Linked DNA regions of Struthio camelus. The protein of the gene in region 2 purifies or fractionates together with the protein of the main gene of each other region. This does not show direct contact. Links are inferred from orthologs where the notes say so. Each region holds a gene or a part of one and is shown on either strand. Other genes may lie near its edges. The genes, in order: ARPC1A, ACTR3B, ARPC5L and ARPC2.

What was found.
Region 1: the proteins of ACTR3B (region 2) and ARPC1A purify together in Homo sapiens (affinity purification with mass spectrometry; 5 studies listed by BioGRID and IntAct, counting the BioPlex papers as one, with this or other methods). This does not show direct contact. The link is inferred for Struthio camelus from reciprocal best matches to the Homo sapiens genes ACTR3B and ARPC1A.
Region 3: the proteins of ACTR3B (region 2) and ARPC5L purify together in Homo sapiens (affinity purification with mass spectrometry; 3 studies listed by BioGRID and IntAct, counting the BioPlex papers as one, with this or other methods). This does not show direct contact. The link is inferred for Struthio camelus from reciprocal best matches to the Homo sapiens genes ACTR3B and ARPC5L.
Region 4: the proteins of ACTR3B (region 2) and ARPC2 purify together in Homo sapiens (affinity purification with mass spectrometry; 6 studies listed by BioGRID and IntAct, counting the BioPlex papers as one, with this or other methods). This does not show direct contact. The link is inferred for Struthio camelus from reciprocal best matches to the Homo sapiens genes ACTR3B and ARPC2.

What each region holds. Positions count from the first base shown.
Region 1 is NC_090956.1:4,596,084-4,603,088, forward strand, and holds the start of ARPC1A (actin-related protein 2/3 complex subunit 1A), read right to left. Parts: upstream 3,016-7,005; 5' UTR 2,765-3,015; intron 1-2,764. UniProt on the Homo sapiens protein: Probably functions as a component of the Arp2/3 complex which is involved in regulation of actin polymerization and together with an activating nucleation-promoting factor (NPF) mediates the formation of branched actin networks.
Region 2 is NC_090943.1:8,634,657-8,642,053, reverse strand, and holds the start of ACTR3B (actin-related protein 3B), read right to left. Parts: upstream 3,005-7,397; 5' UTR 2,876-3,004; coding exon 2,832-2,875; intron 2,576-2,831; exon of another isoform or gene 2,541-2,575; intron 2,409-2,540; exon of another isoform or gene 2,205-2,408; intron 2,118-2,204; exon of another isoform or gene 2,087-2,117; intron 1-2,086. UniProt on the Homo sapiens protein: Plays a role in the organization of the actin cytoskeleton.
Region 3 is NC_090961.1:1,255,235-1,262,442, reverse strand, and holds the start of ARPC5L (actin-related protein 2/3 complex subunit 5-like protein), read right to left. Parts: upstream 3,008-7,208; 5' UTR 2,956-3,007; coding exon 2,830-2,955; coding exon of another isoform or gene 2,810-2,829; intron 1,188-2,809; coding exon 1,026-1,187; intron 207-1,025; coding exon 30-206; intron 1-29. Other genes in the region: PPP6C (serine/threonine-protein phosphatase 6 catalytic subunit), read right to left, coding at 3,720-3,968, 5,016-5,225, 5,373-5,452, 6,802-6,943. UniProt on the Homo sapiens protein: May function as component of the Arp2/3 complex which is involved in regulation of actin polymerization and together with an activating nucleation-promoting factor (NPF) mediates the formation of branched actin networks.
Region 4 is NC_090947.1:28,618,558-28,625,834, forward strand, and holds the start of ARPC2 (actin-related protein 2/3 complex subunit 2), read right to left. Parts: upstream 3,005-7,277; 5' UTR 2,822-3,004; coding exon 2,748-2,821; intron 1,437-2,747; exon of another isoform or gene 1,383-1,436; intron 1-1,382. UniProt on the Homo sapiens protein: Actin-binding component of the Arp2/3 complex, a multiprotein complex that mediates actin polymerization upon stimulation by nucleation-promoting factor (NPF).

The DNA.
Region 1 (7,005 bases), on a different chromosome or scaffold from region 2:
TGTCAGGAGATTAAATTGACATGTCCAGAACATTCATAGACAACTATAATTTGCTGACATATTATTTGATAAAACTATTCACATGTATCCTAGGGAAAAATTACAAAAAACAGTAATTAATTACTAATTTCTTCAAATTAATACATGCACTTAACTGTTCTATAGTTATGTTTTCTTCCCCATGAGATTTAAACACTAAGAGAACAAGCTAAATTAGTCTAGTTTGTCAATACTTTGGGGGAAAAAAAAACTAGCTACCCAGTTTTTTCTTTAACTTATAACTACATCAGAAGAGATGGCCCTGAACATCTGCAACTGGAGGTGCAAAGCTGTTTAAAATTTCATATCATATTCTATGTCTCGCATTAATCAATGGCAGCATAAATGGATGGAAGATAACATCACAGCAGCTCAAGGTCACCTATAATAATTAAAATGTGCATAGTTCAGCACATACAACTTAGATTTGCCAATTCCATCCTCCTTCTGTATATTCCACTATATTTCATAGCAATTTATTCTTGGCTGATGGATCAAAGTCTTTTACCTCTACATCTACATCTAAAAAGAAAAACCTCTGTGGTGTCATTCCAAGACATCCACACCCATTATAGCCTGAAATTACAACATACCCAAGTATGGCCATGTTAGCAGAGGGTGGAGACTTCAGGGCAAGGTAGGAATTTGGAGGCAAACAGGAAATGAATGGCAATTCAATAGAAACTGAGGAGTGAATGAAAGATGAGCAAGTTCTTACTGAGTTTAGCAATTACTATCACAGCACTAGTATATCAAATACACAGAAAGTGCTGAATCCTGAAGTAGAGATGACATAGCACCTCATTAATGCAAAGGGGTGAAAAGACTCTTCTCTAAAGAAATCATGCACTGCTGTTTTAAACTTAAAGAAACACGACTCCCAATTGCATTGGAAGTGTACTTCAATCATAACTTTCAACTACATGAGCTTTAAGTCCAATTCCTAATTTTAACTGACACTAATTTCATGATTCTCCTAATAATCATATTCTGCAAACCAAACTAAGCTATTAAATATATGCAGTGCTAAGCAAAATAATTTTTTTCAATTAATGTGAGCTTGTTGACATAATCTGAGTTACCTTTGACCTTGGACAGCCATGATTTGAGATTCCATGTGTTAATGTAAGCAAAACATGTCTGTGAATTGCGTTTTCCACGATCTTGCTTTCGTACTTGCCAACATGCAGTAGCAGTACATTTCCATATACAGGAAAAGTTGAAGAGCTGTTCTACCAACAAGGAATGCTCAGCTTTTTCTACTCTTTCCGAAATAAAAATTTAAAAACATCTAATTCTCCCCCCTCCCCAAGGAATGTAGCTATTTCAAAGCACTTTCTAATACAGCCCTGGTATTTTCTGCACAGATTGGCACTATGTATAAAAGGCACAGTCTCATCCTAATAATACCTAGTTCAGGGATTTTTACTTTCTAACCCACTGGCTGTTCCAAAAACTTGTATCTAGACAGGAGATATGATCCATCCTTGCCCACTGATAGAGTTTCTCAAGCACCATAACCTGTAGCAAGTGACAGCTTCCTCTTTTGGTTTGGTAACAAACTTATAAAAAACAATAATGATGATAACCTCAAAAAGCACTACTAGTTCTCCTGTCTGAACTTGCAGTTTTTTTTTTTCTTTAGGAAGATACATCGTAATGAAATCTTCCAGCTATATTTATTCCTTATCAACGCGCAGACAAAATCAAACTCACACTTCACTACAGAAAACACAACTCTCTCTGTGAATCTTGATACAATTGATAGGTAGTAAAAACCTTAATATCCTCCTGCAGCCAATCTCAGGATCTCACATAGGAAAAAGGTGCTCTTAAGCTAACTTTGTCAGCAAGGTACTTAGGGTAGCTATCCCTAATTTTTTTTTGTCAAATGCAGAGTAACTGTCCTTGAGTTTCAGTGCAAAAAAAAAATGGAAATGTTGTATGCTTGTACAGCACAAGCTTCTTGGGCATGCAGGCTGAAAGGGTGGTGGTTGGGAAAGACGGGACTCAGCTGCTGTCATTCCTCAACGGGGTAAAAAATGTGCGGTATAAGGCTACCCCGGGCCAAGCAACCAGCAAGGACTGGGGTTTGGAATCTGAGATAGCACGTGTGTGCGCACGTCTGAGAGACGGAGAGAGACAGAGAGATAACTTTTTAATCCTTGCCTATTTTCAGAGCGCCGACATCATCTGCAAACATCTGGCAGAGAAGCGCCTATAATTAAGGGCTGCCTCCTACCGCTGTCATCCCCGTCCCAGTCCCCGCAGCGCTGCTCTCCCGTGGGGGGTCGCTCCCCGCAGGCACGGCACACCATCAGCCTGACAAAGCCGACCGGCTCGGGATGGCTGCCGGCGGCCCTGCCCGCGCTGACAACACCACTGCTCGACCGGGAGAGAGCCGAGCGCCGAGCCCACCCCCGCCCCTCACCCCCTCCCCGGCGGCCGCCTACCGCGGCCCCATCCACCGCCCGGGCGCCCCGTCCCCTCAGGGCGACGCGCGGCGCCGGCGCCACAAGGGCGTCCCCCCTCCCCCCTTCTCGGCGGCGGGAGGGGGGGGGGAGCGCGCCCCTCCCCTCCCCCCCCCCGGGCAGGCCCGCGCTGAGGTGAATCTCCCTCCTCCTCCTCCTCCGCCATCCCCGCGGCACCGGCAGGCCCCCCCTCCTCCGCCCCCCTCCGCGCGTGGCAGGCCGCCGCGGACAGCCACCCGCGGCGCGGGGCTCACCTGAGGCGGCGGGAGCGGAGCGGGACTCGCGGACTCTGGTCAGTCAACGCGACTCCGCTCCGAGCGGCGGCAGAGGGAGCGGCCGGCGGCGGAGGCCGAAAGGGAGGGGGGAAAGGGGGGAAGGGGGCGGCCCGGCACTGACAAGGGAGCCAGGAAACGCGCTCTGCGCCTGCGCGCCGCCCGCCGCCCGCCCCGCGGGCTGCGCCTGCGCCGCCGCCGCGCTGCAGGGGCGGGGGAAGCCGGGGAAGGGTGGGGAGGGAGCCGGGTGGTCGCTCTGCGCCTGCGCGGGACGGGGGCCACGCCCCACGGGCGTCGGGCGAGCGCCGCACACAAAGGCGGCCGTGGTGGGGGGAGGAGGGCGCATGCGCCGCGGGGAGCGCGCAGGCGCCGCGAGGGGGTGGGTGGTGTCGGGGGCGGCTGCTGCTCCCCGGGGAGGAGGGGGGTGTTTTGGGGAGTATTTTAGTGAGTATGGGAGAAGCGTTAAGAGAGTGATTTTGTCGGTCTTGGTGTTTTTTAGCCTCGTGAGGTGAAGGAGACCATGTCTACATCTGCTAGAGGGGGCAGGAGACCCGGCGTCTCCTGGCCTGGAGCCTTGGGGGTGTGTGAAGGCGCCGAGGCCGCTGCGGCTTGCTGGGTGGCTGTGTGGGCCTGTCAGGGTGTGAGGAGAGCCCTAGAGCCGAGAGGTGGAGGCAGTGGGATTTGTGAGCTTGATAATTTTGACTTCTTCAGGTTCTGGAAAAGCAGAGTGCTACGCCTTCCCTGCTTTCCTCCCTCTTGGAGACCAAAGGATTGGTGAAAAGAAAGAAAAAGAACCTCTTAGTGCAGGCGTTAACAGTCCCTTCCTGGGTCTTCAGGAGCTCTAGGACCTTCCCTCCTATCTGGCTGGAATATAGAAAGAAATGCAGTTGCAGTTCTTTGCCCTACTCTTAATTCCCTAGAGAAGTTGCCTGCCATTTGGGGTCTGATGATTTGGCTTCTGTAAAACTTACAAACTTTGTTGTCTTTGAGGCATGCAGTAGGGAGAGATGAGTGACTCTGAGATATGCTGGGGGGGCCATAGAGTAGTAAGCTTAATTTCTAGTCCCAGGAAAAAATAAAAAATTTATAAGCATCTGGAAGGAAATGAGAAAGTGAACGTTAACCAGTATGGCTTTGTCAAGAATGGGTTGAACCAGTCCAGTTTCCTTTTCTGGCAGTGTAACAGGGCTTGCAGATAAGGGAGAAGCAGCGCATGTCATATAGGATAGTCTAATAATAAACTGGGAAACCAGTCTAGATGATACTGTTCTAAGGGAGTTGCAAAACTAGTTGAGAAAAATATACTTGATATCAGTGCTTCTACTGGGAGCTACCCTGGGCCCATTACTCACCAATGATGAGATTATAATTATTGCATTTGAACATGAGATCGAGTCTAACGGCAGCATAAGTACATGGTCATGGAGCTAGAATTCAGAATAGCAACTCTATGAAAAAATAGGATGCAGTTCTTTAACAGTTGTACACTAGCATGATCAACTTCAGAATTACAGGACAGGATCAACTGGGCAGCTGGCTATTCTGCAAGAAAGGATGGAGGAGCTGTACTGTTTCCCGAATAGGTATCGATAATGTCTCGCTGTTGCAGAAAAGGCAAACACCACACCAGGGCTATGAGGATTAAGCAAATCGTCAGTAAGACATACTCAGAAATTGTTCAGCTCTACTGAGCTATATAAAATCTTTGCTAGATGAGTATATCCGGTCCTGGTCTCCACATAAGAAAATTAGGGATAATTTGGAGAAAGAGGTGAAAAATACGATCAGAGTCTTTTAACCTGTGACTTTTATTGAGGCTGTTGAGAAAAGAGAAGACTAGGGAAAAATGCAGTAAGTCTCCAAATACATAAAAGGCTACTGCTCTGAGGAAAGGAACAATTTGTTCTTTTATGTCCACTGTGGGTAGGGCAAGAAGTCATAAGCTAAAATAATAACAATGGAGATCTAGGTTACAGTGGAAGCTCAAATTGTTGAAAATCCCTATCTAAGCACTATGGGGAACTGTCTTGATGAGATGTGGGCTCTTACCAGAAGTTTTTGAGAATAGTTTTGAAAAATACTTGTTAGTATTGCATAAATGCAATATAAGATCTTGCTTTTGGATAAGAGGCTAGACTAGATGATCTCATGAACCGGTGTCACTACAGTTCTGTAACTCTGAGATAAGTAATCATTGCGGCCCTTACTGGATTAACAACAAAACTAGATCAGATGCACAGGTTAAACACATGCAACTAGGCCAAGTAAAATTACATAATATGAATGAAATTACTTCTAAGTATGGTTCCATGTTTACAAGATGATTTTCACCTGACAAGGTGAAAGTAACTAAACAAGGACCTCTGCAGGAGCTCAGAACTTTTAAACATTAAATGTTACGGTCTTGTCTCCAGCGAAGGATTTTGGAGAGTTTTCCACCTTTGTTCTTGCTGTATTGCTGATGCAATTGTGCTGTGCTAATCCAGAAAGGATGCCAATGTTTTTGTTATTAAGGCCGCACAAGCTAGGCTGAACTGAGCTCAGTAAAAATAGTCTAGATACAGTCTGACAGTAAGATTTTTATGGGGAAAAAAAAAAAAAAAAAGAGTTGGGACATCCTTTGCCGTTGTTGGCATTTTTTTTAAATAGCGACTGCATGCAGTTGGGTCACAAGCTAGTCAAAAAGAGGTCTTTTGGATTCAAAGCAAGCTATTGTATGTAAAAACAGATATTTGCAAATGAAAATATTTGCCGTGAGAGGGGTTCTAGATGTGCATTGTTAGCTCCAGTATTTGAAAATACAGCACTCCTAACCATGGAGAGAGAATCATTACATGCCTCATGTTTAAAAGGGATAGACAGCAAATGTCTTTCTTTCCTAATTGCGTTTCCTGACAGCTGCTCTAGAATAGCTATCTAGATAATAATAGTTTTATCAAAATCTGTTTTCATCAATAATATTCTTGAATTCTAAAGAGCATTGCCTTAAGATCAGATAAAGTCACTATTGATTTTAGTACTTTCAAATTTGGGGTTTCTAAGCAGGGAAAGTTAATTTATGTCACTGTCCTGCTTTTTGGCTACTTGATACAAAGTCCTATTTGTCAACTCCTGTTTTAACTTTGTGGAATGTGTTAAATGGCCATAATACAGAATGGGAAAGAAGGCAGAATGCTTCCTGTTTGCGTTTTAACCAAAATTTTGCTGTGCCGTCTCTTTTTCCGTACTGGCTTTCTAGGTAGGGAAGAGCTTGCTCCTGACTGCTTTTACCCCCCTGCCAGATAAGATCTGCAGTGAAGTGGGTAAGAGCCTGCTGCTCAGGCCCTAGGCTCAAACTCTAAATGACCACCTCTAGAGCAAAGTATAAAGAGTATGACATCTGGCAACACCTGTCCTGCTGGTAGCCTGCTTTTCAAAGATTGTATGCCTAAATGCATTTGTTCCAGTTGTCCAAGCAAGGCTTGGTGACCAACAGCAGCATAGTGGGGTTTGGAAGACAGCAGTTTTACTCTAGCTCCTACAGAAAATGATGTCCACTAGAAAAGTGGAGAAAATGGCAGCAGTAGTTATCCCCATTTTAGATTGTGACAGAAAAATTGTGCCTTGGTATTGTTAATACTGGCTGGCTCAAGGCATTGAACAGGAGAGCGGGAATGGGAAGGAGACTCTCTTTTCATGTGATAGCATTATAGGTGAGCAACTCTGACACCGTAAAAGGGGTAGCATCACAAAGCAGCAACTTCAAGTTTTTCTCATACAATAAGCTCTTCTAAGACTAAGCATTAGGACTACCAGTGAGAAGAATTATTTCTGTCCTTGACATGAAAAATGCAATATCCGTGTTAGCACAGATCGTTTTCAAGTTATACTAGATGTGCCTTCCATCATTCTAAGTATACTCGAGAAGTGTATTTGCAAGCTTTCAGGTCTGACACACGGGTAGTTCTTCTCTCTGCAGATAGTTGCAGATTTTGTTGTCTTTCTTCCGGTCTTTCCCACGTAGGTGTCTTCTTGATATCCTAGACTTGTTTCTATCACTACTTTAGCAATTTTTTAAAATGGTAAGCTGTGCAGTACCCTGGGGAAAAAAAAAAAAAGAGGACACTGAAGCTGTATTGCGGTAGCGTCTTATTTAGCTTTCATCAGCTCGCTAGGAAGAAGACAGAATTACTGTTATGTCCAGGCAAATTCCCATCAAAATGTTCCAAACCTCTCTCTTTTTT
Region 2 (7,397 bases):
AGGCTTTGCAAAAGTAGGGATTTTTTTTTTACTAAAAGACAATGGAAGGACTCAAATAAAATATCCCACAAACAAAAGTATTCCTCAATGTCTGCAAATATACACACTAAGCAGGAGACAGGTATTTTAAGCCATCTTTGCTTAGCGCACCACCCACCTACCAGAGTTCTGATGTCCCACAGCTAATAGTCAGTTAACAAAACTAGTTTTAAAGTTTACAGCTATTTAAACAGTAACACCAGAAAAGCCTGGCTGTGCTAAGAATCTAAAAATAGCATGTCCTTTTCCATGAGAAGATTGATAGCAACATGACCACTAGAAAAACTCAAAGAAAATAAAGACATAGGGCATCAAAATCAAAGTAGAACAGGTCCCTTGCAAATACTTTCAAGGAAAATAGCAATCATTGCAAATAAACTCTTGCTGCTTTCTGCAGAATTTATCATAACCTTTATTCACACAGAAAGTTTAAGTCATCTGTCTAACAGAGGAAAGGAATACTACCCTGCCCTGCTATAACAACATGTTTCTCGCTTAAGGTCTGTACAACTGTTGTTTGTTGCTTTTCTGTTGTTGCTTTTTTGAGGAACTTCAGCATCGTACACGACCGAGGCCTATGACTGCAAACAATAATAAATTAATCCAGGCTCCTTCCGCACGTGACAACAGTGACCAAAAAAAACATCTGTTCACAAACTTCTGAAGTCCACTTATACGAAAAAAAACAGGGATTAGCGCCTGGACAAAGCACCTCATTCAGTACCAGAGACTTAAAGTAGAAAAGTGTGTTTTATACACACGATGTTCTGCAGAGCAGGTCTGCATATAGCTTTTCCTTTCAACTATGCTCTTCCAAGCTTTTCATCTGAAAGCCTTTTCATGGAGAATTTGAACAAATTGTTTGGAGCTTGTAAACCCAAAGCAGATTCATTCTAACAATAAGAAGGTTTTCAACCCACACAGGAAAATTCCAGAGACTGCACATCAGTGAGTCAAGCTACTTCTGGCTGCTTTCGTTCACAGTCTTATTTTTTTTCTCTCCAATTCTGCAAGATTACTTGTTCCAGATTTAATAAGCTCGTTGCTGAAAAGTCTCTAGATTTGAGTGCCCTGCAGGAAAGCCAAGCAGAAGTCCAAGTGAAACACCACCTTATCTCATATGAATTAAGACCATTCGGGGGCATGGAAATACAAGTCCCACCACGTGGGAGCTATCTGAACCTTTCCTGAAAGAAACTGATATACAGGCACACGTACAAACGCCATCAGTTTTTCCCATGCAAGAACGAGACAGACTTTACAAACTCTATTTCAATGATTATTTTCTCTCCACATTCGCTTATTCTGTACGACTGTTGGTCAGCAACATCTATCATGAGTATGACATTAGGATCACTCCACAAACGGAGAGCAAGAGCGGTGGGCTTCTGCAAGAGACAGCAATCACGTTTGGTGCTTTTTCTGGATTTTGTAGTTTATATCGCAGGTTTTTCAAGGGCTACGCTCAGAGCTCCCAGACTTTAAATCTGTAAAGTAACACTAATAGGTCTGTGGAGAACCTACTTAAACTATCTTCAGTAAATAAATAAAAGGAACCTTAGAAATTACCCAGGAGTATCTAGTACCTAGGCAGAACTACAGCAAGACAGACGCCCTTCTCGATTCTTCTACCACAGCTGAACACTTTGGACTCCAGTATTCTCCACTGAGGGGACAGAGCTGATTTCTATATAAACGTAGATAGAGATGAGATAGGATGAGAGACTTTTGAAAGTTTTCTGACTGTTTGAGAGAGACGTACCTCAACATATGAAATCCTTTTTCAGAAAAAGGAGGCAGTGTGACACCACAATAAACGGAAAACAAGGCACTTCCTCTTGCTATCTAGCCTTTAAAAGGGGGGGGGGGGGGGGGGGAAGGAGGCTGAGCTTTGGGAATGTTGAAGGTAACTTCCCAAGCGTTAAATAAACGACAACAGCAGAGCAAGAGCTTCCTGAAACTCCCTGCAGGAGGAAGGTGTACTCTTAACGCAATCCACAACCCCTGACAAGCAAAGTTACGTCCGGAGAGTCACTCACGGACGTACCTCTCCTCCCTTTACTCACAGCTCCACGATGCTGCTGGGCCAAAGGAAAGGGATTAGCAAGAGCACCGCTGCAGGTTCACTAACACCCCCCCTCCCCGATTTCGGCGCCCTGTGCCACCTCCGGCTCCTGAGGCACAGCGGAGCGGCCCGCTGGGCTGTCAGATGCACGGGTCTTCTCCAGCCACCGCCAGGACCTGGAAAGACCCGCTCCGCCGAGCGCGGCCCCTGCCCACCCGAGGCCTCGAGAGAAGCGAGCCGCAGTCCTCGTGCCCCGGCTCGAGGCAGCACGCCTCTCGCCCCGACCTGACGCCCAGCTCAACGCGGGGGCGCCCGCCCCGCCCGGCCGAGAGACGCCGCTGACGCGGGGCCCAAGCGCCCTGCGCTGAGGGAGGCTACGGCGAGGCGGCCCGCGGAGGCCGACGGAGACGCGCCCTGCCTCCCCCCCGGCCCGCACCACCGCCGGCTCCGCTCGCAGCTCCGTTAAAAAACGTTAAAATTAGAAGCAAGGGGAGGAAACGGGCAGGCGGGGCCACCGCACGCCGGGGACGCGCGGGCGCAGCGGCTCGGTGGAGGACGCGGGCCGGGGACACCCCCCGCCCGGCCGGGCCGCCAAGGGGCGGAGGAGCGGGAACGGGGGGCGCCGGCGGGCAGAGCCGGAGGAGGGCAGGGGGCTGAGCGAGCGCCAGCCCCCGCAGGGACGGAGCGGGGAAGGGGGGGGGGGGGGACCGGTGCTGCCCGCACTTACCCGGTGCCTCCGTCTATCACGCAGGGGGGCAGGCAGGTCGCCATGCTGGAGAGCCGGCACCGCGGGCCGCCGGCTGCCCCGGCGCGGCTCGTCCCTCACTGCCCCGGCCGCCCCGCGGACGCGGGCACCATGCAGCCGCCTGTCAGCGCCGCCCCCGGCGCGCATGCGCCGCCCCGTGACGCCGCGCCCGCCCCCTCCCGCCGGCGGCCATCTTGGGTCGGCTGCGGGAGCGCGGCGCCCGCCTGTCGCTTGTCACCTTCGTGCTGTTACGGCCTCAAAGAAGCGGGGTGGGGGGAGAGGAGCTGGCCGGCGGCCGCGCACCTCAGCGAGGTGCTGCCTGCGGTGGGGCACAGCCCCCGCGCCCCTCTCGGAAGGGCGCTCCTTCACCCCGCGCCTCTTGGCCTGCCCGCCCGTGCTGGCCCCCCGCGACGCCTTGGGGCAGGTTAAAGGTTCTTTGCAGCGAGGGTCGCCCACCCCCGAATGAACGTTACGGAGGCTGCTGCCCGGCCGAGCAGGGCTTGCCCTCGTGCTTCGCGTGCCGGCGAAGGCGAGGTTTACACCGGCGTTTAACCAGTCGATGGTGGAAACGCAGAGCTGGGTGCAGGTGGCTACACTGCAGCCCGCAAACCCTCCGGGTTGGCACTAAACCAGCCCAGAACATAGCACGTTCATACACGCTTCTCAAAGCGCTTGAAAACAGGCTGCCACAAACATCACCTGCAAAGTTGATGATACCTAATTTACATACACAAGAATGATTTCTCATAAGTGACTCAGCCACGGTCATACTGTGAGTGCGTGGTAGAGCCAGAAATAGACCCTCCAGCTGCTCAGGCCCAAGCATTAACCACAAGAGCAATTTTGTTTCCTATGAGGGTGTAGCTTTCTATCACCCTCTCCCATCTCCCAGTGGCTACACAGGCTTGGGGCTTGTGCGTGAGAAGAGCGAAAGGCATCCTCCCCATCCACGGAAAGACGGTGCCTTTGGTGTGACAGCTACAAGACTGTGCGAATGCCCTTAGGGGGTTGTTCAGCCGTTTACCACAAACTGAGCATACTCGATCAACATATTTGCTCATACCGTTCCCCTCAGAGATGCTGGAAGATGCACAAAGCATCATGGAAGCCGGCCCATTCGTTTGTTGGGAGGGCTTCCTTATCGGTATGTTGAAATAGTTACTGGAGCCTCAATGTTAGCTCAGCTCCAGTGCTAGAGATTCAAGCCTGATGGAAATCATCTGTCCCCCTCTTCAGGACAGTCAAATCAAAATGACATGGTAAAGGTATTGTTTCAGGGGCCAACGATACATCTGAGAAAAGACAGAATATGCTTTGACTTCCTTGGCCAAAATTTCCCCTTTCTCATGCTGTTGCACAATATGCTGCACTGGGCTCAGAAAATGTGTGCTCACACACTGTGGGCACATCATGGGAAAGTAGAGAGTCACAAACGTTACATTTTTTTCTCTTTTTTTTAAGAAGTCCCTAGCTGCTAGGGCTGTGGAGAAAGCCTCAACTGTAAACACAGATACTGCCATAGCTTACATGCAGTTTACACACTACAGACATTCAGTTTTCACACAGCTGCAGAGGCTTTAAACTCTGTGCCCTACCCTTCTCTTTTCAAGCTGTTTATCACCATCCCTGGGGCACAGATTACTACCACCGTAGCTCTCCCAGCTGTTTGTGTAGGTGTTCCCTAACCCACTTCAAGCAGAATCAGCTGAGAGAGTTCAAGCGGTTCAGCTAGGTGCTGGGAGCTAACTCCGTTGATTTTACCTGAAGTGGGTTAGGGAGCACTCAAACAAATTGCTCTGTTAGCAGAAGTGAGGGGAGGGGTAAAGCACAGTAACATCTTAAACTGCTCCAGCTGGATCCCGAAGAGGACATCTGTCCACAGTCTAAGTAACAAAGAGAAAACTCCATGGAGAACCTGGAACAGAACTGTGCCACAGAACTATGAGAACATAGGTGAGCTGATGAACTTACCAAGCAGCAGTGAGAAATGTGAAAACACTCGTTCACCTTGGTGATACATTAGAACTCAAGTATCTAGTGATTACTTAAATGACAATAACGGTAACTATCTAATTCCTCAGGAATTAATAAGAGAGGAAGGAGAAGATACCAGATCTATACAGCTTAAAGATGACAGATTCTTCCGATAGCATAACCATACAGCATTCAGAGCATACCATTGCTTCTGCCTCGGGCTCAGGCATTATTTGTAGTTTCATACTTTAAGATCACACAGGGACTATTACGTCCTTTTAGCCTTTTCCATAATATAGGCTACAACAGTTTGCTTAGAGTTTAAGCTATACTGAAAGGGAAATAGGAACACAGGAAGCACCAGTGATCTCATTTTGACTATCTGTATAGGCTACCATGAGTTAAACGAGTGAAGCTATGCTGCTTTATATTGGTTTGTCTACACCTCTTTTCACCACAGTATCCAAATGCCTTTGAGGAATGTGTTAAGCGATGTGGCCAATATCTGCCATTCTTTCATTTTTGTCTCAAAGGAAGAATTGTGTAGGCAGAAGAGGGTTTTTTTAATTTTGTTTTGGGGTATTTAAAGTGTTCATGCTACAGTACATTTACAATCAAGAAGGTAATCTAAAGAAGCAGAAGGTGTTGAAGTTTTGAGAGGCCTTTAATTTCTGTGAGACTTTGTTCAACAGTAGCAAAGCAGCCCTCCAGAAACTTTTAGATGATTCTTTGAATAAAGGAGTCTGCACTTAGCTATGAGAAGCCATTTATGTAAGAGGAGGCTGGTTTGGATGCATTTGCAATAGCTTTGTGTTATTAAGATGAGCTGCACGTTTTGTTCTAGATCATGCATCTTAAAAGCTGATAGTGTCATGCTCAGATATATCACGTTGCTATTTCAGAGAAAGGGTAACGGAAACCTAGCTTCAGTTGCATATGTAGTCTGCCAGGAGGAGACATGGGTTCCCAAACAAAACGCATGCAAAAGCTTAGCAGCAGCTCAGAGTCCAGGGACACCACCACGTTAATTAGCAAGTTAACTAATTGTGTTTGCCTACCCTCAAGTAAATGAGACTACAAAAAGGTTTTCTTTGCTTACATAACCTCTCCCCTGCTTGAGATCAGCTTCAGTCAGCTTTTCTTCATTGATGAGCTGATCTCTAAGAGCACTAGGCTAGCTTAGCGGTAGCGATAAGACCTAAGAGCTGGTGAAGAACTATACTGCTGGCACTTAACGTTCACATTGCCCGAACAGCTTACCTGTACACCGTATGTTCATGCTGAGTTCTAGCGAAGCAGCTAGTTGAGAAGGTATATTCTTCCATCACTGCTTACTTAATACAAACCTTCACAGAGGACTCAAGAACATTCTCCTGCACCTCTGCCTCCTCTCCGAGAGGTCAGCAGCATCTTGAATCAAGTAATATGAGTGTGAAAAAGCACGATCATACGCCCCTGACATTTCAGTCCTATCCAAGTATCATCCCCCATCCAAAATAATCTCAGCTACGTGTTTTTAAAAAGCTACTTTCAAGTCCAAAACTTCCATCTCTAGATAAATGGCTAGCCATCGCTGTTCTTTTAAACTTTGATTTTTAGCAAGCAGTGGAGGACTGTTATCAGATCATATTCAGTGAATTACCTTTGAGTTAGATAAACTACACCCTCTAATTTTGTTCATCTGACCAGCCAAAACCATGCTTACATACTGGTCACAAATATCTGATTGCAGTCTCAATTTGTTTTCCTACTAGCAAAAAATGATGATAACATCAGAAAGACTCAATTCAGAAGTTCAAAAGTAGCGGCACAAAAGACAGATCTTTAATCCTGGATCATTTCAAACATAAGGCTAGTTTAATGGCAGCTGCTAAGCAGCTGTCGTCATACAATTACTAGGAAAGGTCACCAAGTAATGGTGTTCACACACTAGAAATCACAGAGTGGAAAGTATGTGGAGATGGAGAAGCTAAATGGCTGGAGAAGCTGAGCTTTCCCCCCCTGAATGGCTGCAGACCCACACATACACATATACACACACACACACACACACACACACAAAAGGAGCAACACAGCGCAAACTATCCATCCAAATTGTATCTGCAGACCACACATTAACCTATTGTATATTCTTTTTATCTACATAGACCTCTGTACAGCTATTTCTAAGACCACTCATGAGCAAGGTACTTAAGTCCATCTGTAATTTAAAGTGTGTTAATAGTCCCACTGAAAACAATACAATTATTCACGTCCCTAAGGCTATAAGCCATTTAAATAACTCTGCAAACTGGGGCTTAAAACAAGCTTTAATTCGTACCGAACAGTAGACCTTAATATATTCTGGCAGAAAACTGCAAGCTGCTTGTGCAAACAGAATAAAAAGTGCTTGCTGTCTTTAAATTATATTGGAGTCTTATGTTATGCAACAAGTTAAAGAGGGTCAGTGGTTTGTTTGTTGGGGTGGGGGGAAGGAGGAAGACTTATATGTCTTTTGTAGAACCGGTGACTTACTTTTTAGTGTCTTTCCTAGTTCTATATTCCATTGTTCCAGATCCTTTATTTGTTTCATAG
Region 3 (7,208 bases), on a different chromosome or scaffold from region 2:
GAGCCCGGACAGCACCAGAAGAAACTTACCTTTTCATGCCATTGAAGTAATATTGCACTGCTATTTTCTGTTGGCTTTTCAAATCCTTTATAAATGTACTTCATTAACAAGTCAATGCCATTTCTGTCTAAGGAGTTCACTGCTTGTTCTATTTCACTGCTTTTAAAAGATGTGAGGACTTTAAGCATGGTTCCCTGGGCCTGTTCCTGCAAAGACCACAAAAACAAAAAAACAAAAAAACAAAAAACCATTAGAGCCAGCAAAGCTGGAACTGTATCAAAGACCTGTGTTTGACAAAAGTATGCTCAGAAGACCACTACATTAAAAAGTTGGTCTATTTATTTGTTGTAACCAAGCAGGTTAACATTTTGCACTTTAAGTTTTAGTAGCGAGAAGGGTGGGTACATCTTTTTAAAAGTGGATTTTTTTCATGCTTCTTTCTCGGAAGGGCTAACTGAAAGGGATTGCAGAATCATCTGCTGAGCTGTAACAAATTCAACAGTGCAAGGCCAAATTCCTTGTTTTAAAAGCATATTGCAAAATCCACATGCAAACACTGCTTCAGGTATGTGCTCACTAACTCCATCAATTGCTTTTCTGAGTAAGGAAACTTTGGTTTATCCCAAGAACATCATCCTCTTCTTTACAAGCATCAGCTGCTCCAGTGTCCCTCCTGTGGCAGTTAGAGCTGGGCAGAAGAGCAGCACAGACCTGCGTTCATTTACGAGTCTGCTGTCGCAGGCTAGCTAACAGGCCATTTGCATCGAAAAGCAGCAGCATTATTGCTCAAGAGCCTGCCTATGGATGGTGCAGCTGAACACAAAGCGATTGCCTGTGTAGAAAATACAGCGTATTGCTGTAGTCTATCACTAATTAACAGCACTAAGGTATTAATCAGATTTCTGGAGAAATGCTGAACCATTTGGAAGTGCCCCCACGATCCGCTGCTGAAATCTAGGGGTGGGTGCGTGCCTGCTGCGAGGCAGTGACAGAGCCGCTTCAGGAAGCGCAGAGGTGCCGCTTACCTTCATCGCCTGGTTCTTGGTGTTAACAGGAGAATTCCTTATGGCTGTGTGGAAAGCTCGGAGCGTATCGCCTGTGCAGCACAGCAAGTCAAGGACTCGAGCCGGTCGGTTATTGGCACCATCATAACTCACTCCAACCCAACCGACAATCTTGTATACAAACTTTGAATACCATAACAGATGATAAATGATGTGTTTTATAAGAACGATTTCTGGACACCAGGTAACAGCCCGATGTGCCACAGAAGGAGACCAAGAGCACAGGGAAGCAGTCCGCAGCTACAGCTAAGTCGCGCGATAAGCCCTGCCGCAAATACTTTGTTACCGGGGTGCAGCGGGGCGGCGCGGGCAAGGCGCAGCTCCTCGGGAGCTCCGGCTCGCCCTCGCCGGGAACCCCGCCTGCACCAGGGGCGCCTGCCTGCACCACGGGTGCCCCACCTGCACCGGGAGCACCCGCTTACACTGGGGGCGCCTGCCTGGACTGGGGCACCCACCTGCACCAGGGGGCCCTGCCTGCACCGGGGGTGCCCCACCTGGACCGGGGGTGCCCCACCTGGACCGGGGGCGCCCACTTGCACTGGGGGCACCTGCCTGGACTGGGGCACCTACCTGCACCGGGGGGCACCCCCCCCACCTGCACCAGGGTGCCTGCAAGCACCGGGGGTGCCCCACCTGGACCGGGGGCACCCACTTGCACTGGAGGTGCCTGCCTGGACCGGGGGCACCCCCCCACCTGGACCGGGGGTACCTGCCTGCACCGGGGGTGCCCCACCTGGACTGGGGGCACGCACTTGCACTGGGGGCACCTGCCTGGACTGGGGCACCTCCCTGCACCGGGGGGCACCCCCCCACCTGCACCAGGGTGCCTGCAAGCACCGGGGGTGCCCCACCTGGACCGGGGGCACCCACTTGCACTGGGGGTGCCTGCCTGGACTGGGGCACCTACCTGCACCGGGGGCACCCCCCGCCTGCACCAGGCCACCTACCTGGACCGGGGGCACCCACTTGCACTGGGGGCACCTGCCTGGACTGGGGCACCTACCTGCACCGGGGGGCACCCCCCCACCTGCACCAGGGTGCCTGCAAGCACCGGGGGTGCCCCACCTGGACCGGGGGCACCCACTTGCACTGGGGGTGCCTGCCTGGACTGGGGCACCTACCTGCACCGGGGGCGCCCCCCGCCTGCACCAGGCCACCTACCTGGACCGGGGGCACCCACTTGCACTGGGGGCACCTGCCTGGACTGGGGCACCTACCTGCACCGGGGGGCACCCCCCCACCTGCACCAGGGTGCCTGCCTGCACCGGGGGTGCCCCACCTGGACCGGGGGCACCCACTTGCACTGGGGGCACCTGCCTGGACTGGGGCACTTGCCTGCAGCGGGGGACACCCCCCCACCTGCACCGGGGTACCTGCCTGCACCGGGGGTGCCCCACCTGGACCGGGGGCACCCACTTGCACCGGGGGCACCTGCCTGGACTGGGGCACCTACCTGCACCGGGGGACACCCCCCCACCTGCACCAGGGTGCCTGCCTGCACCGGGGGTGCCCCACCTGGACCGGGGGCACCCACTTGCACTGGGGGCACCTGCCTGGACTGGGGCACTTGCCTGCAGCGGGGGCAGCCCGCCTGCACCGGGGGCACCCGCCTGCACCGGGGCAGCCCGCCTGCAGCGGGGGCAGCCGCCCGGCCCGGGGCACCCGCCTGCACCGGGGCAGCCCGCTCTGCTCTGCCCCGCCCCGCCGGCCAGGGCCGCCGCCCGCTCGGGGCCCCGCAAGGATATTGCCGCAGCAGCGCCTCCACCTCGGGGCCCGCGTCGGGCTCGGCCGCCGCCGCCGCCGCCTCCTCGGGCTCCTCCACGAAGCGGTTCTCGTCGTAGGCGTCGATGTCGAGGCGGCGGAAGCGGGACGAGAGCGTGCTGCGCGCCATGCCGCCCCGCCGGAACCGGAACCGGAACCCCAACCCGCTCCCGCCGGAACCGGAACCGCGGCCCGGGCCCGCCCGCCGCCCCCTCTCGGCCACAACGCGGGGCTTGTATCGGCACTATTTAACCTAGAGGTGGATTTCATTTAAGATACGACTTTATTAAAAATACAAGGTATCTGAAAAAAATCAGAACAATTATTTTAATGTACAAATTCCATCGCTGTAGCAGATCTTGGTGTATTTTTAACCGAAGTCTTAAAAAAAAAAAAAAGGGGGGGTGGGGGGCAGCCCTTTCGACCACTTTATTTTGTATCCACTTAAAACAAGATATAGCAAGGACGATTCAGTTCTACGTCTCGGACGTGCACACAACACAACGCGTTTGCAGCCCCATCGTGCACACTGGATAGTAACTTTGCTGCTGAAATTTCTTAAAACTTACGAAACAAAAAGCTGAGTAATGCAACAGGACTGACCTGGTTCCAATGTATTATGATTTTAAAAGGAAAACGTTTCATCTAAACCCAGAAGTACGTAAGAACTACATGCAGTAGTATAAATGTCAAGGACATATTACAAATATTCTGAAATGAATCTAGGGTAGGAAAAAGGAACTTGCTACAGACACCATAATACACAATAAATTTAGATAATTTAAACATAAAAAAAGGCAAGAGGCAGCATTTCAGCAGCAAAGTGCTCAATAAAAAGTATATTGTAAAGGGATAGTTACAAGGGAGCAGGGAAATGGCAGGCTGGGGAAGGTCTCAAAGGAAATAGGGTGTAGTTGTTCTAGGAGGAATTACACGTTCTGAATCTGGAACTGCACGGAATAGCTTTGGTTCTCTTGTATTTACATCTTTAAAGACCATGATTGACGCAATATTTCCACAACGGTAGCAGTAATTTGGTGCAGACCATACCGTTACCAATTTCTCATCAAACATGAATTTATAGCCTTCGTGCACTAGCTGATGTGCTCTGCAGATGAGTTTTAAGTTGTTGATATGAACAAACTGTAATTTAAAGGAGGGGGAAAAAAAAAAAAAAGGCGTGTAAATATTCTCTGTGAAGAGCTGCACATCATCACCCACACAACAGCCTTCCCCATTTAGAACACCCTCCCGAGACCCCGTATCGCAGCTGGTCAACAGGTTTGCTCCCAAACCTGCCCCAAAAGCTTTCTGCCAGAATCCTGCCAGGTTTCAGCTGCACAGAAGATACTTCAAGGCTCCCGCTTCAACATCTCTGAGAGGAACCAAACTGAAGTAGCCCCTTGTTTTCACAGAAGCGCGGCCAGTCACGTTGACCTAGCCACATCACTGTCATCTAAATGTGTTATTAAAGCTAATGGTGCCATGAAGGGACCCGTCTTTTCAAAACATACTGAAAAACACCCAGTCGCCGATGAGATGGCTAAGCCTGCGTTGTGTCCACAACGTTCACACTTTCCTGAACATGCTGCAGTAAGACCACAAAGGACAACGAATACCCTGAATCAGGCTTTCCTAACGCAGCTCGTTCAGAAGCCTCAGAAGGTCAACAAATTTTAGCCTAGGGAAGTCTGCTTACTGTTTCGCTAAAAGTAACAAAAATTAAGTCAGGAATTTTTAGGAAAAAAATGTTCCAGTGGTGTTTTTTCTCCTAAATCTCTAGGGAGGTATTTCTGCACAAAGCCTAATAAAATTAGTTAGTCTCAGAGAAGGGTTGAGTTTGGAAGGGACCTTTAAAGATCATGCAAGTCCAACCCCCCCCACTCACTGCATTCTACTTTTAAAACGCAAGATCAGTATCATCTCATCTGGCAGGGTTTTGTTTTGTTTTGTTTTTTTAAAGTTCAAACGGCTCAATTTTTTCGAGTTGGTTTGAATTAGCAACAATAAAGCAAAAGCACCTTCTTCATCAGCACACAGCTTACTCAGAGCTATCTTAGCAGGAAAGTTAGTCATCTCACACAGTCCTCAATCTGTTAAGCACTAGGATAAACACCAAACTTGTAGTTAAACGTCTTAATTTATCTCATAACTACAATTACTTTATGCTGCGTGCAATAGCATCATTACCTCATTTGTCACCTTTGCACCAAACAGCCAGCCTGCTCCCCGTGGACTAATCGCCCAAGTATCTACATCTTCCGGATCAGACCAGACAAGGTCACAAAAGGCTCCTTTATGCGGAATTTCTTGATTACGTTCAATGGTTCGAATTTGATCGAGTGTCTTGATGTCTGGAGACAGGCCACCATGCACACAGAGAATCTGCTCATCTATTAACTGGAGAAAAAAGGCACGCGTGTCAAACGCACAGCACTTCAATCCAACTCAGAACTCTACCAGCGTGACCCTTAAAGGCCGCTAATTCAAGAGGTCACATTTAGACAATCTACTTAGATTCTTTTTAAATATAGCGTTTACACTTACAGCTGCTATTGTGAGCATGTCAAAGACTTTGGTACAGTATCTCCAAGCATTAGCATTTCCATATTTGGTTTGGCACTCATCTGTTAAATAGAGAATTTTTTTCTTCTTAATGGATCAGAAGAAATTCAAATAATAAGAACAGAGGCAAATACTTACAGCAGAACTTGAAAAGTCAAGTGTGTAATAAAAAGCATTATCAGGAGCACCAGTAAATGCTCAGCGGGAAGCTGTCTGTCTTATTGTCACCTAGGTCCACTAGTAGGAAGCACACTCAGATAGCTAACATTCTTCACTCCCTTGAGCAATACAGGGGGTGCTGGAGCGAAAACAGGATCTCACACAACACGACTTATGATGTTTTCTCTGCTCCCTGCAAGTAGCTGGCTGGGACATTCCAGACCAGCTGAATGTTTGTATTACAGAATTTTACACTGGAGATTTAAGGCAAAAATTGTGAAACTATCTGGGCTACTTAGTTTTCCTGACTACAAATAAGACTTACAGTAGCTTTGCTTAGTTAGAAAGCAAAACAAGACCAAATTATTCCCATTTCTCATAAAACCAGAAAGAAATCAAAAAAAAAAAAGTAATTTGGCAATGGTAAATTAATGCCACATTCGTGTAGCTATAAACTGGATGTAAGCAATTCTGGACTGTATAGCCCTGGCAGAAAAGTATTTCTTTGGAGCCTTAAGCCATTTGTCAACACTTCTATTTGTTCTTGTTGCCACATTATCCCAGAAAATGCATATTACAGTCTACATGTTCCCTGTGGCAGGTGTTAGTTATTCTGCCGAATTTCCTCAGGTGTTATCAGGTTTATTTTGCAGGATTTCCTCACACAACTAAAACTTTCCAAGCAATTTAATGGTGTTGGTTTTTGGAACAGTCGCCCTACTGCTTCTTTCTAGTCAGTGGCATTTTCCCCCATGCCTGTTGCTGACAATAAATAGCTTCCATAGCAAACTCTACACATTGTGTTGTTTCTCAGCTATAGCGAAGCCCAAAAGGAATTACAGCAACATTACGATTTCTCCTGGAACTTTTCATTAAAAGATATGAAAGCACTTTCTGTACAAATATATTATCTTTCTCTGTCTCTAAAAATCAAATAGGGTACTAAAACCAAACAAGAACATACAGGTGCTGGAGGGAAAAAAAGCAAGCTAGAACTTTGTCAGATTAGGTTTTGACTTTAGGCACAAGAAGTCCAACAGCGAACCACTGGACTAAAACATGCTCCGCTTCATGAATGCAAGGATCACGTTAACAAATTATAACATTCCAGTTTTACTATGCCCGTTTCCCACCTGGTTCTAGGAGAGCCACAAGTAGTGCTGCATTCAAAAATCAGATGTCCAAGGGGAAAGATAAGGTAGTTGTTTATTACATTAGCCATCATTCAGAAATCATTTGGATAAAGACTTACCATAAAATCCATACACTTGAGTTATCTGCCTGCTTTCATGATTGCCTCGTAACAGTGTGATACGATCAGGCCATTTAGCTTTTAGTGCAAGAAGGTAAGTGAAAGTCTCAAGACTATAATAACCTCTATCTACAAAGTCACCCTGCAAGTCAAAGAAAATTCATAAATGGAGAAACAGTCACATTCAAAAGCAAAGCGATAGATCCATTCTTAATTTCTCAGTGCATAAGGAAATCTAACGCTGAAAGAAAGCCTGGCATCCACGCTCTACGAAAACAAGTTCTTTGGTTGTTTGGAGTTTTAAGTCATTACGTGCATCTAAAGCTACCCTGACGCGTAACCGGACAGACGCTCAGACTGTTGACTACAACACCAAGTACAACTTTCTGTTTGACGCGCGTTACGCT
Region 4 (7,277 bases), on a different chromosome or scaffold from region 2:
GGGAGAAGACATCTCACATGAATAAATATTGAGCAACACTCACTTGCTAGAAGACTTACAACCTGCAGAAAAAAAAAATACACCTCTCCGCATGTCTCAGACCTTTATTTCCACCCTGTGCTTGCCTGGACAGGAGGGCCTCAGCACAAGCACAAAAGAAAACGCAGAAGTAAATAACTTCCTCCCCTTCAGCAATGCACCCAAGGCACAAAAATTATACAGAAACAACATCTAGTTTGTTGTTTTTCTAAACAAAGGAACAATCTGTAAATGAGGAAAACATAGAACATCATCAGCCACACTAACAGCAACCAAGAATCAGTCCAGGAACAATTGGTATGCCAGGCAAGTGTGGTGATGCAGAAGTGAGGCTTTGCTGTACAGCAAAATGGAAACTTTGCAGGGCTGCAAACCGTTGCAGAATGAGTAACCCCAGTTCTAGTTGCACGAAGCCAGGATTTCGAGGTGCACACAACCTTTTGATGGCTGCAAACTGCCACCTCCACTGCAATTGCTGCATTTTAGATCAACCTAAGGACACAGGCACATTCTCTTGCTCCAACAGGAAGAGTGCCTTAGTATGAACATGCAATGAATGAGCGTTTTTGACACACACTATTAACCTCCGCATACATAATATTTTCTAATGGACGCAGCTGCAGTACCGTAGCAGAGTCACCTGGGAGTTCTCTCTTCCCACTGTGGTGCCTGTGCTTTGGAGAAACTTGTTGCATTAAATGAGCACGCTCAGGAAGAACAAAAAGCCTCACTGCAGAGAGGCAAGCAGCTCACCAATCCTACAAAGCAGTGCAGTCTGTGAGGCTATCTTATGAACAAAAAAAAAAAAAAAAAAGCAAGAACCAACACAGAAGTCAGCTGAGAGGGGAAACCAGAGGAAACGGCCTCTATCAAAGTTCTGAACCCAGAAGGCAGAAGAGCTTCAAAAGCAACTTAAGGGAAAAGTGAAACAGAAAAAGGCACCTGCCTGGGGGGGTGGGGGGGTCTCTTCCCAGGCAGCTTGGTCTGTGCTCTTTGAACACAGGCTCCACCCCAGAGATAACACTACTGCATTTTGCTTTTCCAGGCTTTGTCTACATACAAAGGTGCCCAGTGTTACTCACACCGGCGCTGTGGCGCTCAGCACAGCGAGAGCACGGGTAGCTTGCCTAGAGATAAGGACGTTTATACCAAGTGACTGTCTTCCACAGCTAAATTGTGCTCAGATAAGCACCTTTACAGCCTCTGCACTGAAGCTAGTGTGTCACTCTCAGTAAAACAGCCACTGGCTCCACAGGGACTAAACTGTCCCAGCCTGAGATGCAGGCGCAAACCAGGCTCCCCCTCCCTCCCCCCCACCCCACCCCCTGGGCCAGGACACTCACTAGGCCTAAACTGGACTTGCTCTGATGCAGGTTGCTTTATCAGAAGTAAATTTGAAATCCTATAAGAAACATCTCTGTAAACGCACCTCCTCCCCAGCAGCAGCTCTGTCTTGAACTGCTCCAACCCTTGTCCCACAGTCCCACCCCTTCCTTTTCCCCTCATCCCTGCTCCCCACCTTCGCCTCCTATCCCAGTCCCCATGTCCTCCTTTTTGTCTCTCTCTTCTCCCCCCTCAGACCTTGCACCATCACCATTCATCCTACTGGCCCGAGCCCTGTAAGGCAGCCAACTCCTCTTCTTCTCAGCCGTATCTCACCTTCTTCCTTTTCAGTAACTCAGTCTTTACAACCAGCTCCTCTTCCTGCAGCCCAATATCCTCATCCCTCATGTCCTCAGCCCAGCTGTCACCTTCACAGGGCCCCCTCCCTCAGTTTTGCTCCCCTAGCCCAGTCCAACCCCCCCCAGCCTGCCCTAACACTACCCCCCTCAGCTCTCCCTCCTTGAGCTCTGTACCCTCTCCAGCCCCTTCCTCTTCTACCAGGCCTCCACACTGCCCTGGCACCACCATCACCACTCAGGCTGGCTCTCTCTTCTAGTTCTGCCGGCCTAGCTTTGCCTCCTCATCCTCTAGGCCTTCACTCTACCCTAGCTCTAATTAACTCTTACTTCCTCCACTTCAGTTCTGTTCCCCCAGCCCAGATCCCAGATCACCCGCTCGCAGCTCCACCCCCTCCCCCAGACCAGCCTCACCACCCTGCAGGCATCTATCTTACTCTAGTACTAATGCCCCCCCCCCCACCTAGCCCTTTCCTACAGCTCCCCTTCCAGTCCCCGTCATCCCGCAGGCCCCCATCCTGCCCCAGTACCAGCCCTCCCAGACCAGCCCCCGTCATCCCGCAGGCCCCCAACCTGCCCCGGTACCAGCCCTCCCAGACCAGCCCCCGTCATCCCGCAGGCCCCCATCCTGCCCCGGTACCAGCCCTCCCAGACCAGCCCCCGTCATCCCGCAGGCCCCCAACCTGCCCCGGTACCAGCCCTCCCAGACCGGCCCCCGTCATCCCGCAGGCCCCCATCCTGCCCCGGTACCAGCCCTCCCAGACCGGCCCCCGTCATCCCGCAGGCCCCCATCCTGCCCCGGTACCATCCCAGCTCCGTCACCGCCCCGTCGCCCCGGTACCAGCCCTCCCAGACCAGCTCCGTCACCCCCCGCCCGGCCCTGGCACCAATCCTCCCAGCCCGTCATCCCGCAGGCCCCGCCACAGCTCTGCCCCCCCCAGCCCCCGCCGCCCCTGTCTCTGTCCCCGCCCCAGGCAGGCCCGGCCCGGCCCGGCCCCATTCACCGGACCGGCCCCCCCCCGGCCCTACCCGGCGGCGGCGCCCTCGAACTTGAGCGTGAGGGTCTCCTCGATGATGCGGTTGTTGACCTCGAGCAGGATCATGTCGGTGCCGGGGGGAGGGGAGCGGCCTCTCAGGGCGCCGAGGCCGGAGGGAGCCGAGCCCGCTGCGCGCACCGGGGACCCGCCCGAGCCTGCGCCGCCGCTTCCGCTCTCGGGCGCGCGCGTCACTTCCGGCCCGGCCGCGGCGGAGCCGGGCGGCGGCGGCGCCTGCGCGCGAGCTCCCCGCGCCCCGCCCCGCCCCTCCTGCCGCGTGACGTCACGGCCCGCCGGCCCCGCCCACGGGAGCGCAGGGGGCGGGGCTGCCTCGGGGAAGGGAGGGGCGTGGGGAGCCCCCAAAGTGTGGGAGGCCCGGAGGGGTCCCCAAAAGCGTGGGGGTGGCCCCACGGCTCAGGGAGGCCCCCGGGGATAGGAGTGGCCCGGGGATGGCGGTCCCCAAATGTCTGGGGCTGCCTCCAGGGAAGTGGGGTGCTCCCAAAGTGTGGGGGGTCCTGGGGGGACCCAAAAGTATTGAGGAGCTCCAGGGCGCAGAGGGGCCCCAAGGGATGGAGGTGGCCCTGGGAGGGCAGTCCCCAAGTGTCTGGGGGTGGCCCAGGAAAGTGGGGTGCCTCCAAAATGTGGGGGTTCCCCAGGGGGCAGGGGTGCCTCAGAAGGGTGTGGGGTGCCCAAAAGTATGGGGTGCCCCCAGGACATAGGGGTGCCTCCGGGGAATGTGGGGGTGCCCCAGGGTTATGGGATCCTCCAAATTTTGGGGGCATCCCCAGGGATCAGGGTTGCCCAAAAAGAGTGGGTGAACCCCGGGGGGGTCCCCAAAAGCATGAGGTGCCCCCAGGGCATTCGAGCATCCTGAGGGAGCGTGGGGGCACCCCTGGGTCCCCCAAAGTGTGGGGTGCCCCTGGGAACGGGGTGCCCAGGGGGCATGGGGGTGCCCCAGGCAGCTGTGGGGCACTGGGGGTGCCACCAGGGTTTGGGAGCCCCTCAAGGGGGATGGGGGCGTGAGTGCCCCTCGCCGCCCACCTCGGCACTTTCTCCTGCGGGAGGGGGTCGGGGCGGGGGGCTGTGTCACCCCAAAGGGTCACCCCGAAACGCAGCCGCTTCCGGGCAGCAGCAGGGCACCTCCTCGCGGCGCGGCTCGGCTCGGCAGGGAGCTGCGGCGGGAGGGACGCTGGGGGGGGGGGCTGCGGGGTTCGGGGTCCCAGCGACCCAGCAAGGACAAAGTGGCCTGGCGGTGCCCTGCGGTGCCCCCAAGCCCCGGGGCCGGCGACGGCTCTGCCAGGCTTTGCAGGGGGCTCAGCCCGGCGCCCTGACGCCCAGCTGGGGTGGCAGGTTTGGGGGCTGGAGCCCGGCTGCGGGGCAGCGGCTGGCCCTGGGGTCGCAGGCGGGCAGCTGGTGGGTGCTGACAGGTCCCAGGTCAAGGTAGGTCCCGCGGAGCGAAGCGGCTGCAGAGAGCCGGGGAAAGGGCTTGGCGCCTGCCCCCGGCCGGCCGCAGCCCCGGGGGGGGGCCGTGTCTGTCCCGTCCCGTCAGCTGGGGGGTGGGTTTCTGCCGGGCTCTGGTGAAATGCTGCGGTTGGGGAAATCTCGACCTGGGCTGTGCTGCCTGCGGTTGGCTCTCTTCCTCCTGGCGGGTGTCCCTGCTCCTGCGGTGTCCTGTCAGCACGGCGGGGTGGGGGGGGAACTCTTCACTCTATCAATGGGGAAACTGAGGCACAGAGCCACATCCTCCTTTTGGCTCACTGACCGGGCCAAATGCTTGCCATGGGGCAGGTGGAGCCTTCGAGGGGCCCTGTGGTCTTGCAGGAAGGCTGTGGCACCCAGGAGGCCCCACATGGAAACCTTGTCCACTCTCTGTGGTGGGCCTATGGGAGCTGGTGGCACCCCCAGGCCGGAGCCGGTGCCTTGGGCCCACGGTGCCAGCACCCACAGGGGAACCACTGCAGGTCAGACGTGATTCCCCTCCAGATGCGGCCACGTGTGATCCACTGCCGGGCGGCTGAGGACGCTGCGGTCCCCAAAGGGCCACCCGCCATGGGCCAGGAGGGCAACGAGAATCTGCTGAACATCCCCCGTCCAAGGGAAGGCGGTCCAGGGAGTTGGGAAAGGGTCACTTCTGGCTGCCACTTCCGCTTCAGGCTGGGCAATGGTTTTGCAACCTCGCTTCCTGCCTGAGTGACATAAAGCAGCCAGAAGAGGAGAGGCACGGGTGGACAGCGCAGGTGAGGGACCTTCTGGCTCTCCTGGTGGGTGCCGAGGAGCTGGAGCGCAGCAAGCCCCCACGGGCCTCGCGTGCCCCCAGCGCTCTGCGCTTCCGCCGAACTCCTCTCTGCAGCCGTTTGGGGGTTTCGTTCGGATTCGCCCCCACCTCAGCCTGCAGCGGAGAGTGAGACCAAGGAGAGGAAGGACTGGCAAAATCCCTGGGGAGCTTCCCGACAAGAACTGGACTGGGAAGGGCAAAAGACTCTAGACTTGGGGGAAGCAGCTAAGGAAGAGACTGGTAAGTCTGCAGGATGCTCAGCTAGAGCCTGAGGTTTTCCTTCGGCTTTGCCAGCCCTGGAGCTCCACGGCTAAGTTTCTGCCTGCCCCCGTGTTTGGAGCAGGGCAGGCAGGGGTGGGGGCACCCACTGTGCCGGGGTGGTCTCCTGCGTCTGACTGGTCCCTGAGAGCTGGGTCGTCTTGCACAGGGGTAGCTGGATACGGTGGGGAAGGAGCTGGCATTGAGGGCGAGCCTGGGGGTCTGTGCCTGGGGCTGATCTCAGCTGGCTCCTCGATGGGGGCAAATCCTTCCCTTCTTTGAGGCTGGGGAGTGCGGGTGCTGCAGGCGAAAGCACCTGCTCCCATTTCCTTTGCATGTGGCGGTGGGCTGGGAGGACATTTCCCCATGCTCCGTCCCTCCTTCCTCCCGCAAAGGGACTTGCTGGGCCAGCTGGTTCACAGGGAGGACTTCCATGGCGGAGGGTTTGGGGAGGAAACTGGGTGCTTCTTGTTCTCCCGAGCTGCCCTGGGCTGGGCTGGGAGCCTGATACCCACGGAGGGGGGTAGAGTAGGGTGAGGAAAATCTGGTCGCCGGAAGAACCGCAGGGATTTTGAGAGGGGAGTCAAAACAAGAAGCCAAAAATACCCCAAGGGGAAGCGTGTCTCTTCTACCCTGAGCACAAGTGTCTGGCTCTGCTCAGTGCCCATGGAGGCTGAGGAGCCTGCAGCAGCCCTGCCTTGGGGACCTTCCCTTTTGGTGCCAGCAATGCCCCAGGCTGCGGCCCACCAGGGAGATGGAGAGAGATCTCCATAGGAGCAGAGCTGGCAGAGCCCGGGGAGGGTTTGTCACTCCATGGGCACTGGTGGGAGCCTGGCTGAGCACTGGTCCAGCTCTGGGCTTCCAGTGCAGAAGAGATTGTGACAAACTGGAGCTGGTCCAGCCACAGGGGTTGGAGCATAGGATGTAAGAGGGAAGATGGAAGGAGCTGGGTATGTCTAGCTGGCAGAAGACAGGGCGAAAGGGGGATCTAATCGCTGTCTTCAGCTGTTTGATGGGGGCTATAGAGAAGACAGAGCCAAGCTCCTGGCAGAGAGGCCCAGCAAAAGGGCAAAGGCACCAGCAGAAGCTGCAGCGGGGAAATCCCCACTGGGCAGAAGGGGAAAGTTGTTCCCAGGGAGAGTGGCTGTGTTCAAACCAGGCCAGCTCAGGGCCCGAGCCAGGGCTCCCAGCTCTGTGGGGCCTCAGCAGCCCCCAAGCAGGTCTGGCAACTCCAAGTACAGATGGGGAGAGGGGGCCAAGAAATGGAAACTGGAGTGAAAAGGAAGCTTCAATCCACAATGGGAGAAAGATGAAACCTTATAGTCTTCAGGGAGGTGGGGATGATGTGCACAGGCCATGTCCTAAATGCCAAAAGACGCAAAAAACCAACTGTCACCTGTGATTTCCCCACTATGGCAGAGCTAAAGGGTGGCAAGTGCTGAGCAGAGGAACAGGAAAACCAGAGATGTGCAATGTTTCCAAAGCCACCTGCAAAGGGCAACATGTTCTTCCATCCCAGGGGTGAAACTTGTCACACAGGGAGAGGACCTGGGGGGAGAAGAAAGGCATGAAATCACCTTCAGACCTTCCAAATTCCACTCCTTCCCTAACACCATGGCTGCAGCATCACTGCTGTGCAGGATGGCAGGAGGGGCAGAGTCAGTGGAGAGATCCTTGAGGGGCTGGGGATGCTGGAGGGATCCAGAGGTACTTGAAGGATGCAGAAATGCCCAAAGAGCTCAGAGGTGCTTGAAGGACCAACACATACCAGAGGGATCCAGGGATGCTCAAGGGCCAAGGTGTCTTCTGGAGGGGACTGAACTCGAGTAGAGGTGCTGCGTTGATGGGAAGCCCCCACCCCAAGATGAGAGGGTCGATCAGAGATGGGGACCCGGGAAGATACATGTGCTAATCAAGGAAACCCTTCTTTTATGGGAGGGGAGAATGAAGGGGGACAGGGAAGAGACAGGGTTGGGGTGAGATTTAGCTGGT